Caenorhabditis elegans: one gene and its partner. The protein of the gene in region 1 purifies or fractionates together with the protein of each later gene. This does not show direct contact. Each region holds a gene or a part of one and is shown on either strand. Other genes may lie near its edges.

Region 1 (5,087 bases):
ATTACCAACTCGGGGGATTGGCCCCTCCCACAGAACCGTGGCTTGCAATACGCCCATTTCTGCAACTGCCGCACGGTTTTGAAACTGTATTTTTCTTGTTAATTCTCGCTCTATTGAGAAAAATACAGTTTCGAAACCGTGCGGCAGTTGCAGAAATGGGCGTATTGCAAGCCACGGTTCTGTGGGCGGGGCCAATCCCCCCGAGTTGGTAATCCCCCCAATTGGACATCCCCCGAGTTCTTCGGGTCTCAACAAATTTATTGTTTCTATTTTATTATGTAAATGAACTTCATTACAAAGCTGTTTATATTTAAAAAATTTGTATGGGATAATATTTGAAAAATCGTTGAAATAATATTATTTATCTAAAATGTTTCGGCTTCTCAAAATCAAGATGAATCCTAATGTTTCTGTGCAACCATCATTTTCAAGATTAATTTTTCTGTGAAATTTCACCGCAAAGTATTTATCACAGTGTGAGAGCATTGGGTTTTCATAAATCTACGCAATGAAATTATAAAAATTTACTTCTGAACGCATTCAACCATGCTTCCTTTCTATTCTACTTCCTTTATTTTCAGTTTTCAAAATTCTTGCCAAAAAACTTCTAAGCGTCTCGCGTACGTTATTCAATACATGTTTACTAATTTAAAAAATCAATATTTCAGGGTGTCTAGCCACAATGCCGCTCGCTGACATCGCCGATGTGGATATCGACCCGAAAGGAGTTTTCAAGTACATCCTGATTCAAGTTAGTTTTTTTTAGTAAAAAATATTTATTTAAAATTAGAAACTAAAAAAAAGAACGAAAATTAAACGGCAAAAGAAACATAATCACGTTTGAGTAGAGCAGTTGTTTCATTATCTTCTTTCTCACAAATTGAATCCATAACATCGATTGTTTTTGAATGGCCAACGCCTGCAAAATTATAGATTTTCGATTAAAACTAATCAATACTTACAATGCTTGTGAAATTCTATCTTGTCAGTTTTGATAAATAGTGCACGAGATAATGGAGATCTCTGTCCATCTTTGAAAACTGCCGTAGCGCTGAAATGAGATTCAAATATGCAATTTCAAAGTATTTTAGTACCTAAACATGTAGAACCAGTCGAATCGAAGATCAGGGAAGACCACCTTCAAAAGTTTAATTGTATTTTAACTCATCTAAAAATTAATTTGATTACCCGTCTTCCATTTACTGGAATTTTCTCCCATTCTGATAACGACGCATTCGGATTTTCCGTAAAGTAAACCACGTAATTCTTAACTTCATGTGATTTTTTGTATGGTGGCTCCCATGTCAGCTCAATAGTATTCGCATTTAATCGTGTTGCCAAAATATGTTGAGGACTCAACTGAGGTTCCGTATACTGTACCAAGTACACAGCTTTACTTTCACCGAATTTATTATGAGCAGTTATTCGGAATTCATAAAGGGAACATGAATCAACGCTCATAATTTCAACTGTATTCCCTTTAATTCCACGAAGCTCGCGTACTTTTGCATCTTCGTTGTGTCTGGGGAAATGAGTCATAAGTAGAGTTAATAAATTTCATACTTACTTCAATCTATAACGAATGTTGTAAGTCAAGTCTGGATCAGGAGAAAATGGTGGAGCCCATGCAAGTCTTACTGAATATGCTGACGTACTGACAACTTGGCAATCACTTGGTGGATCTGGTGGCAGACGGGCGAACATGAACTTCTCATTTGGCACTGAAATATTTGGAATTTTTAATAATAACTCGCTGAGTAATTTTAACTTACAAACATGACTTCCTCTTCTCTTTTCCTTCTTTCTCTTCGATTTCTTCCTGGCCAACTCGTTATAATCTTTATGAGCAAATATCATTCCTTTTGCCAACTGAGCAAGTAATGATGCCATTGCTGCTCGTCGTCTTCTGAGAATTTATTTGAATTTCCACTTAGATTTTAACTTATTCTCACCTGGCTTTTGCCTCTCGGAGCAAGTAGAATGGATTACTACTCTTGAGTTTTCGACCCAAATAGTGAATCTCTTTCAAATACATTCTACCGACAACGTCCATACACATTGTAGTGAGAATAACTCCCACTGTAATATTTCAAATGATTGAATTCTCTATAATTTTACAACGTACCTACTACAAATGCCAAAGTGACCCAGATATTACCAGGTGAAGGCCTTATATCACCGAATCCTAAAATAAGAATTAGTATCAAGTTTTACAATAGATATATTTATAGACTTACCTACAGTAAGAATACTGATAAATATAAAATATAAACTTTCTACATATGTCCATGTCTCCCAATACCGTACCACCCATGCAGCAATGCATCCGTATACAAATACAAAGAAAAATACAGTTAATGGTGGGAATCGAACCAGTCGAACACGATCAAGTATCTCTTCTTCATTTTCATCATCACCAAACATTGGTTGAAGAGGATCTGCTTCAACCTCTCCTTTTCGTTTTCTTTTCCATTCAAGGCATTTGTTCCATAGTTCGTAGTGAAGAAAGAATATTGTTTCGGAAAGAAACTTTGCAACGTTCGCCACAGTAACAAGTGTTAGCGGAATTCCTAAAATTTTATTTGCATAGAAAATTTTATATAGTTAAAACTACCGATTAAGCAATAAATAACTCCAAAAAGTCGACCTCCAAATGTGCTTGGTGCCACATACCCGTAACCAATCGAAGTAAGCATTGTTGTGGTGAAGAATACCGAATTTGCAAAATCCCAAGTGGGTGAATCCTGTATTAAATGTTCCAATTTTAGAATAATTCCTAGATGCTCACCTCATCATATCCGTGCCTTACAGCTCGATGTGCATAGAATACAGTATCCACGTAATCATTGAAATCATCTACAGTATCTTCTTTTACTGATTTTATCAAATCTTCCACATTCTGAACATTTTGAAATATTTAATGTCTCTTTGAAAAATCCATCTAACCTTGTATTTATCTCGGTCTCGTTTTGCAACACTCCATAACTTATCCACGTAGTCTTTTGCATTTTGTTCTATTTTTGCCATGTGATCTTTTTTTAGCGCCTTCAATTTTGAAACTTTCAAGTTTTTGAAAGTATTTGGTGGAGTAGTGTGAAAATAAATCATTTATTTTTTACATTTTTTTACAATTATATTTCGTCATTGCGATCCATTTGCTATAATTTATAGAAAAAACCACACACTTTTTTTGAAATTTGCTCCTTTACTCCACCTACGAAAAATTGTTTCAAAAAACTTATCAACCATTTTTGGTCCAAAATGTTTTTTTGGATTGAAATCAGAAAAATTCTGCCAAAAAAATGAGTTTTCTTATATAAATTTGAATACTTACATCTAGATGTTCTCCTTCCAACATTTGAAATACAATAGCTCCAAGTATAATATAAAGTACTACAGATCCAATTAAAAGTACATGTAATGATAGAAATCTGGCCATTTTTTCGTTTTCCACCTGAAAAATGCTCATTTCGGAAGGAAAACTGCTGCACGATTTTCCAGAGTATATGCAATAATTCTGACAATAGGATTACTTGTTTGCAAACACAAAATATGGTAATCAATCATTTCTGGGGCCGGAAAATTTTGGCGGGGTGGAAAAAAAAGACGTCGGACCTCCGAATCATTTGCCAACTACACGAAAAGTGGAAACTAGAAATCAATAAGTTTTTGAAAGAAAAAAAGTAGAGGACAAAGTGGAAGGAATGAAATATGAGATGGGACCTGGAAATACGAATTGGGTAGAATTGAGGTATGTACACAAATTGAAGAAAGAATACTTCTAAGGGATTTTGATATGTTCAAAAATTGATGTTTTATTGCATTCCGGAGTTTTATTTGTTTCTGGCGTTATTATCAACAAAAAAACTTGAAAGTGAAACTTTTATTCTGAGGTTTTAAGTTGAAAATTTTGATTGTACCACCTTATTTCAGCGAATTAGCAACGCTTTTTGCTGCTTTAAAAATCTCAAAAATCATCTGAAATTTAGTAATACCACAAATGAAAAATTGAAAAAATGTAGAAATTTGAAAAACCAACTTTTAACATGTTGTTTTTCAAATTTTCGATAATCTCACTGTTTGAATTCCCTCCAAAATCAGGACTGTAACCAATCAGTGATTTACTCCACACACTTTTGAACCAATCCGATTGAGTGAGTGGGATTTATATTCGCTTTTTCTGTGTGGCATTTCTGAATTTTACACGGTTTTTGACATTTTCAAACAAAATCCTCATTTTCGCTCCACCAACTTTTACATTTTGCAATTTAATCTAACACTAAAAATATTGCCATAATTTTAGAGCATATATCATTTCAAACAAGGTTCAACTTTGTTTAAATATTAATTACTTCTTCTTCCAAAAACGAAACATGAGTTTTACAAGTATGTCAAAATGTTAGAAAGTGTAGTTGTTGGGAGGCCGTGAATAAGCGGGGCGAAGAATGAGCCGAGATATCTGCGATACTCCGAAGAGCAAGAAGGAGCCCATCACACAGAATCGGTCCCTTGAGATATGGAACATGCACACTTTTATTCCTCTTTGAGGCCGCTAGTTTCTAAAAAAGAAGAGGGAAAATCCGTGGAATCCATGTTTAATTCCCAGTGGAACATTTTTCAAGATCAATTTTTGATACTTATCCTATTGTGATTGGGATTAATTTATGGAAATCTTAAATAATTTCAGGTAACCGACAATTCAACAAAGCAGCAGAAATTTGTAGTCCGCGGATATTATAGATGCAGCTTTCATGACGATATTCTTCAGGAGACGAAGGTAGTATTTTCAAAACTATTACAAATTCTATCGCTCATTTTGAAATAAATTGTACATTTTTTCAGAGTTCTGCACCATCTGACTTAAAGCTGAAATGTGTGGGCGGTGGTCGAATCAAGCACGATGAAATTGGAAAAGATATTCTTGTGTATGGATATTCGTATGGCTATGGACGAGCTGATCATCAAATTGCTGTTGACATTTTAAAGCAGAAATACCCAGATTATAACATTCATTTCTCTAATGACGGATATTGAATCTCCATGTTTGAGCATAGTTTTGTAATTAATTTGTATTAAAATTGGTCGAA
Region 2 (4,324 bases), on another chromosome or scaffold:
TGTTCTATCACATACAATTGAACGATTCCGGTGAGTTATATGATTTTTTATTACCTCGCTGTTCTTTTTGTTTGAACTAAAAGGAAATGTTAAGGATTTTTGGAACGTTTTAAAACATAGAAAACATTTATTATGAAGGTTGTTTATATTTTTGAAAATTTCAAAAATTGATAATTTCGTTATTTTGAAAAAAAATTGAAATTTTCAATAATTTCCGGTTAATTGAAAAAATTTCAATTCAATTGAAAAAATGCTCGTAATTTTCTGTACATTTCTTCGGCTTTTCCGTGATTTTCCTATTTTGATATTTTCGATATTCTCTGAAAAATCCCGAAAAAATTGTAGTCACAATGTAGAATAAAATAAACAATATTTATTTTTAACAATTAAATATTATTCAGGGACGAATGGAACCGCGAAAATCTACCAGCCCAACTTACCCAAATTGTACGTGAATGGCAAACAGCTGACGATTCGAACAATACAATTGTTAATGGAACCCTCAACAAATCGAATGGAAATCTTGCCAATGGACACTAAATGATGTCCCATCCTCCTCTTCCAATCTACCTCCGTTTATCGATTTTATAATTTCAAACTGAAATCCGTTTTATCATAATTTCCACCAGTTTTCCTCTTGTCAAAAACCCCTTTGTGCGAAAGAAAACTTTCAAAATAAGTGCGGCTACCGTGATACTCACCTATTTTTCTTTGTCCATTTTTATTCAAATTAAATCTCTACCATAATTAATTCCCCTCCAATTTATTCGAGTGAGCATTGCCTGCCTCTCGGGTGTATTCACGTGCCCTTCTATTATTTCATTAATCTTTTCCATTATCTTTAACCTGGTCTTTCGAAAATGAGTAAATTGTGAATCATTCGATGTTTAATGCTAATACCTATTTTTGTTTTAATGATCCGTTTAACTTCGGATATTTATATATTTTCGATTTTATTTTAAATTTATAATATATTCAATCATCTAAACTTTTTCTTTCAGATGGACTTTCAGAACAGAGCTGGAGGAAAAACGGGAAGCGGAGGAGTGGCTTCGGCCGCCGATGCTGGTGTTGATCGACGGGAACGGCTCCGCCAGTTGGCTCTAGAGACAATTGATCTTCAAAAGGATCCGTATTTCATGCGAAATCACATTGGAACGTACGAATGCAAGCTGTGTCTTACTCTTCACAACAATGAAGGATCTTATTTGGCACATACACAAGGAAAGAAGCATCAAGCGAATCTTGCACGGCGTGCCGCTAAAGAACAATCTGAACAACCATTTCTACCAGCTCCACAGAAAGCTGCAGTTGAAACTAAAAAGTTTGTGAAAATCGGACGTCCTGGATACAAGGTAACAAAAGAACGTGATCCAGGAGCTGGCCAGCAAGCACTTCTCTTCCAAATTGATTATCCGGAGATTGCTGACGGTATTGCGCCACGTCATCGATTTATGTCTGCTTATGAGCAAAAGATTCAGCCTCCAGACAAGAGATGGCAATACCTCTTGTTTGCTGCTGAGCCGTATGAAACGATTGGATTCAAAATTCCATCAAGGTGAGGCTTTACAACATTTTAGCACTTTTCTATCTCATAGTTACGATTAAAAAAATTGTATATACCAAGTAATTTTTTCCAGAGAAGTTGACAAATCTGAAAAATTTTGGACGATGTGGAACAAAGACACGAAGCAATTCTTCTTACAAGTCGCATTCAAATTGGAACGACTCGATGATCAGCCGTACTATTGATACTCTATGTTTTTATCTTTTTGATTTCAAAATTCAAAACAATTTTTTCGTGTTTTTCGATGATCTAACAATAAATTATTTTCCTTTTTTTTAATGATGATATTTTATTTAAATCAAGTATAGGTTGACTGATCCGTCTACAATGTCTATTCAATTAAAATTATAGTTTTCATAGTTTAAAAAATCAGTTTCAGATGGCGAAGAAGGTTGTCAAAAGAAAAGCTGAAGCAGTGTCCGCTGACGCAGAAGCCGTTGCAGAAGCTCCGAAGAAAATCAAGAAGCAGAAACCAAGTCTTCCAGTCTCTGAACCTGATAATTATCAGGCTGGTGGATTATCAAGTCTCTTCGGAAAGTCGTCAGAAGGAGCAGCAGTACAAGAGGAAGTTGTGAAGGGAGATAAAGTAATTGAAAAACCTAAAAGAAGAAAGTATGATCCAAAAAAAAAGGCTGAAGAAGAGAAGGCAGCTGATGCTGCTGCTGCTGCTGAAGAAGTTGCACCTGAAACAGAAGGAGAAGAGAAAAAAGATGAAAATAAGGAAGGAAAGCGAGACAGAACGAAGCAAAGAGAGAATAGAACTCTTCAAAAGTCAAATGCACGTGCTTCAGCTGCTGAAAATGCTCTGACTGTTTTTGTTGGAAATATGCCATTGACAATGAACGAGAAATCAGTCCGTCGAATTTTCTCCGACTTTGGAACTATTTCCTCTGTCCGTATGAGAAATCTGCTTCCTGCGAATGAGAAATTGACGAAACGAGTCACTCATTTGACAGGAAAATTGAATGACAAACAGAGTTCTCTCACGTTCTATGTGAAATTCGGAGCAGAAGAATCAGTGGAGAAAGCTCTGAAGTACAATGGAACCAAGCTGGACGATCATGTGATTCGTGTTGACAAAGTTGGAAGTAAGAAGAAAGAATTTGGAAAGGATATGGCCATTTTTGTTGGAAACTTGCCGTTCGAGATTACCGAAGATGCTCTCATTACTTTTTTCTCTGCACAAATCGGACCTGTCGAGGCTGTCAGAATTGTCAGAGATAAAGATACTGGAAAGGGAAAAGGATTCGCGTTTGTCAATTTCAAACAAGATTCTTCTGTGAGTCTTGCATTGAGCATGGAGACTATCAAAATGGAAAAACGCGACTTGCGCATTACAAAAGTTATGAAGAAGGGACATTTGACGGTTTGTTTTTTTTCTTCGAATAGTTCTTCAATTTATAATTTGTTTTTCAGAAGATCCAAACTGCTAAAAAGCGAACATCTCACGGAAAGAAGAACCAGAATGAAATTACTGGAAAATTGCACAAGTTCAAGTTCTCCACCAAAAAAGAAAGGTTTGTAAATATGTGGCATTTTGTCAAAGGGCCCGCGCGCGCAATGTCATTGCCCGGTTCTTCTCTATTTAAATCGTTCAGCGTAGCGCAGTTGGGTGTGCGTTTGTACTCGAGGTCGGCGCCCACGAGTTCGACCCCCACTGCTTGCACGACTGCAACCTGCTTTCGGAACTTTACCGTCTGCGGTACTTGTAGTGCTATATGAGCGTGGGCCCTCCGTGTGCGTGTAATTTAATTGAACTAGCACTCCGTTGGTCACCGGATAATTTTGTTTTTCTTTTCAGAACAACTGAGCAAAATGATCGTCGTGCCTTGAAGAAGTCAGCGAAGAAAGCCATTGCAAAGAAGAAGGCTGCAAAGAAGGGACGTCTGATGGCATAGGTTTTTGAATATTTTGTTTTCATCTATAACTTTGTTGATTTGTTTTGTTTTGTTATTTTTATCACTATAAAAACAGTTTTTTAAATCTAATATTTTATTCATCAAACAAAAAACTATCACAGAGAAAAATACAATAAATGCAAAAATTACTCACAGAGAGGGAAGAAGGCAATAAATGAAAAACACCCATGAAGAACAAGGAAGCAAAATGAAGCGAAAGAAAACATAAACGAGAGTAGTCGAAACTAGAGATCCAAGAAATACATAATTAATGAATGTTAATAAAAAAGGAACCCAAAAATCTATTTATGCCATTGATTCTTTGTCCATGGCTGGTTTTGAAGAATGTACATTTGATACAGGGGGCGGAGCAACTACAGTAACCTCAGTCGGCTCATCATCGTCACCATCGTCCCAGTTTCCGTAGCTGGCAACTTCTGCTGTTCGAGTCTTGTTCAATCGATCGTTCAACTCTTTCAATGCTTTTTGTCTGAAAAAATTAGCATTTTAACTGGAACAAATCAAAGAAATCAAATATTTACCTCCGTCTCTCCGAGTCTTTTGCAGAATTCTCCAGCGCAGGCAAGTTGATTCCAACGGATCCTGATTGTAGAGAGTGAAGATCAACATGACGAACTTGTCGTTTGCAGACGCCCATTCGAGCAAGGGTTCTGAAGCAAACTTTTCCAATGAGAGTGAAGAAGAGTTGAGTGCGAGACGGGAAGAGGCTGGCCCACGTGAAGTGCTCACTGCCGTCTCCATAGATTTCGTCAGTTTCATGGGGTTTGTAGAAGCGAAGATAGGTCCAAGAAACTTGAACACCGATGGTGATTTGGAGAAATGACACCTAAATCAAGAA

What was found.
Region 2: the proteins of twk-30 (region 1) and rbm-34 fractionate together in Caenorhabditis elegans (co-fractionation; one large-scale study listed by BioGRID). This does not show direct contact.

The regions. Positions count from the first base shown.
Region 1 is NC_003279.8:8,808,194-8,813,280, forward strand, and holds twk-30 (Fibronectin type-III domain-containing protein), read right to left. Parts: upstream 3,455-5,087; 5' UTR 3,440-3,454; coding exon 3,335-3,439; intron 3,046-3,334; coding exon 2,947-3,045; intron 2,900-2,946; coding exon 2,789-2,899; intron 2,745-2,788; coding exon 2,615-2,744; intron 2,571-2,614; coding exon 2,238-2,570; intron 2,186-2,237; coding exon 2,126-2,185; intron 2,080-2,125; coding exon 1,953-2,079; intron 1,907-1,952; coding exon 1,773-1,906; intron 1,722-1,772; coding exon 1,568-1,721; intron 1,523-1,567; coding exon 1,189-1,522; intron 1,139-1,188; coding exon 1,095-1,138; intron 1,052-1,094; coding exon 963-1,051; intron 920-962; coding exon 813-919; 3' UTR 772-812; downstream 1-771. Other genes in the region: phip-1 (Sex-regulated protein janus-B), read left to right, coding at 683-751, 4,688-4,777, 4,843-5,034.
Region 2 is NC_003282.8:12,083,477-12,087,800, forward strand, and holds rbm-34 (RRM domain-containing protein), read left to right. Parts: upstream 1-1,943; 5' UTR 1,944-1,946; coding exon 1,947-2,933; intron 2,934-2,983; coding exon 2,984-3,084; intron 3,085-3,232; exon of another isoform or gene 3,233-3,352; intron 3,353-3,368; coding exon 3,369-3,465; 3' UTR 3,466-3,547; downstream 3,548-4,324. Other genes in the region: lex-1 (Tat-binding homolog 7), read left to right, coding at 1-30, 402-540; repo-1 (Splicing factor 3A subunit 2), read left to right, coding at 1,002-1,558, 1,641-1,752; F11A10.6 (Transmembrane protein 115), read right to left, coding at 3,772-3,955, 4,008-4,312.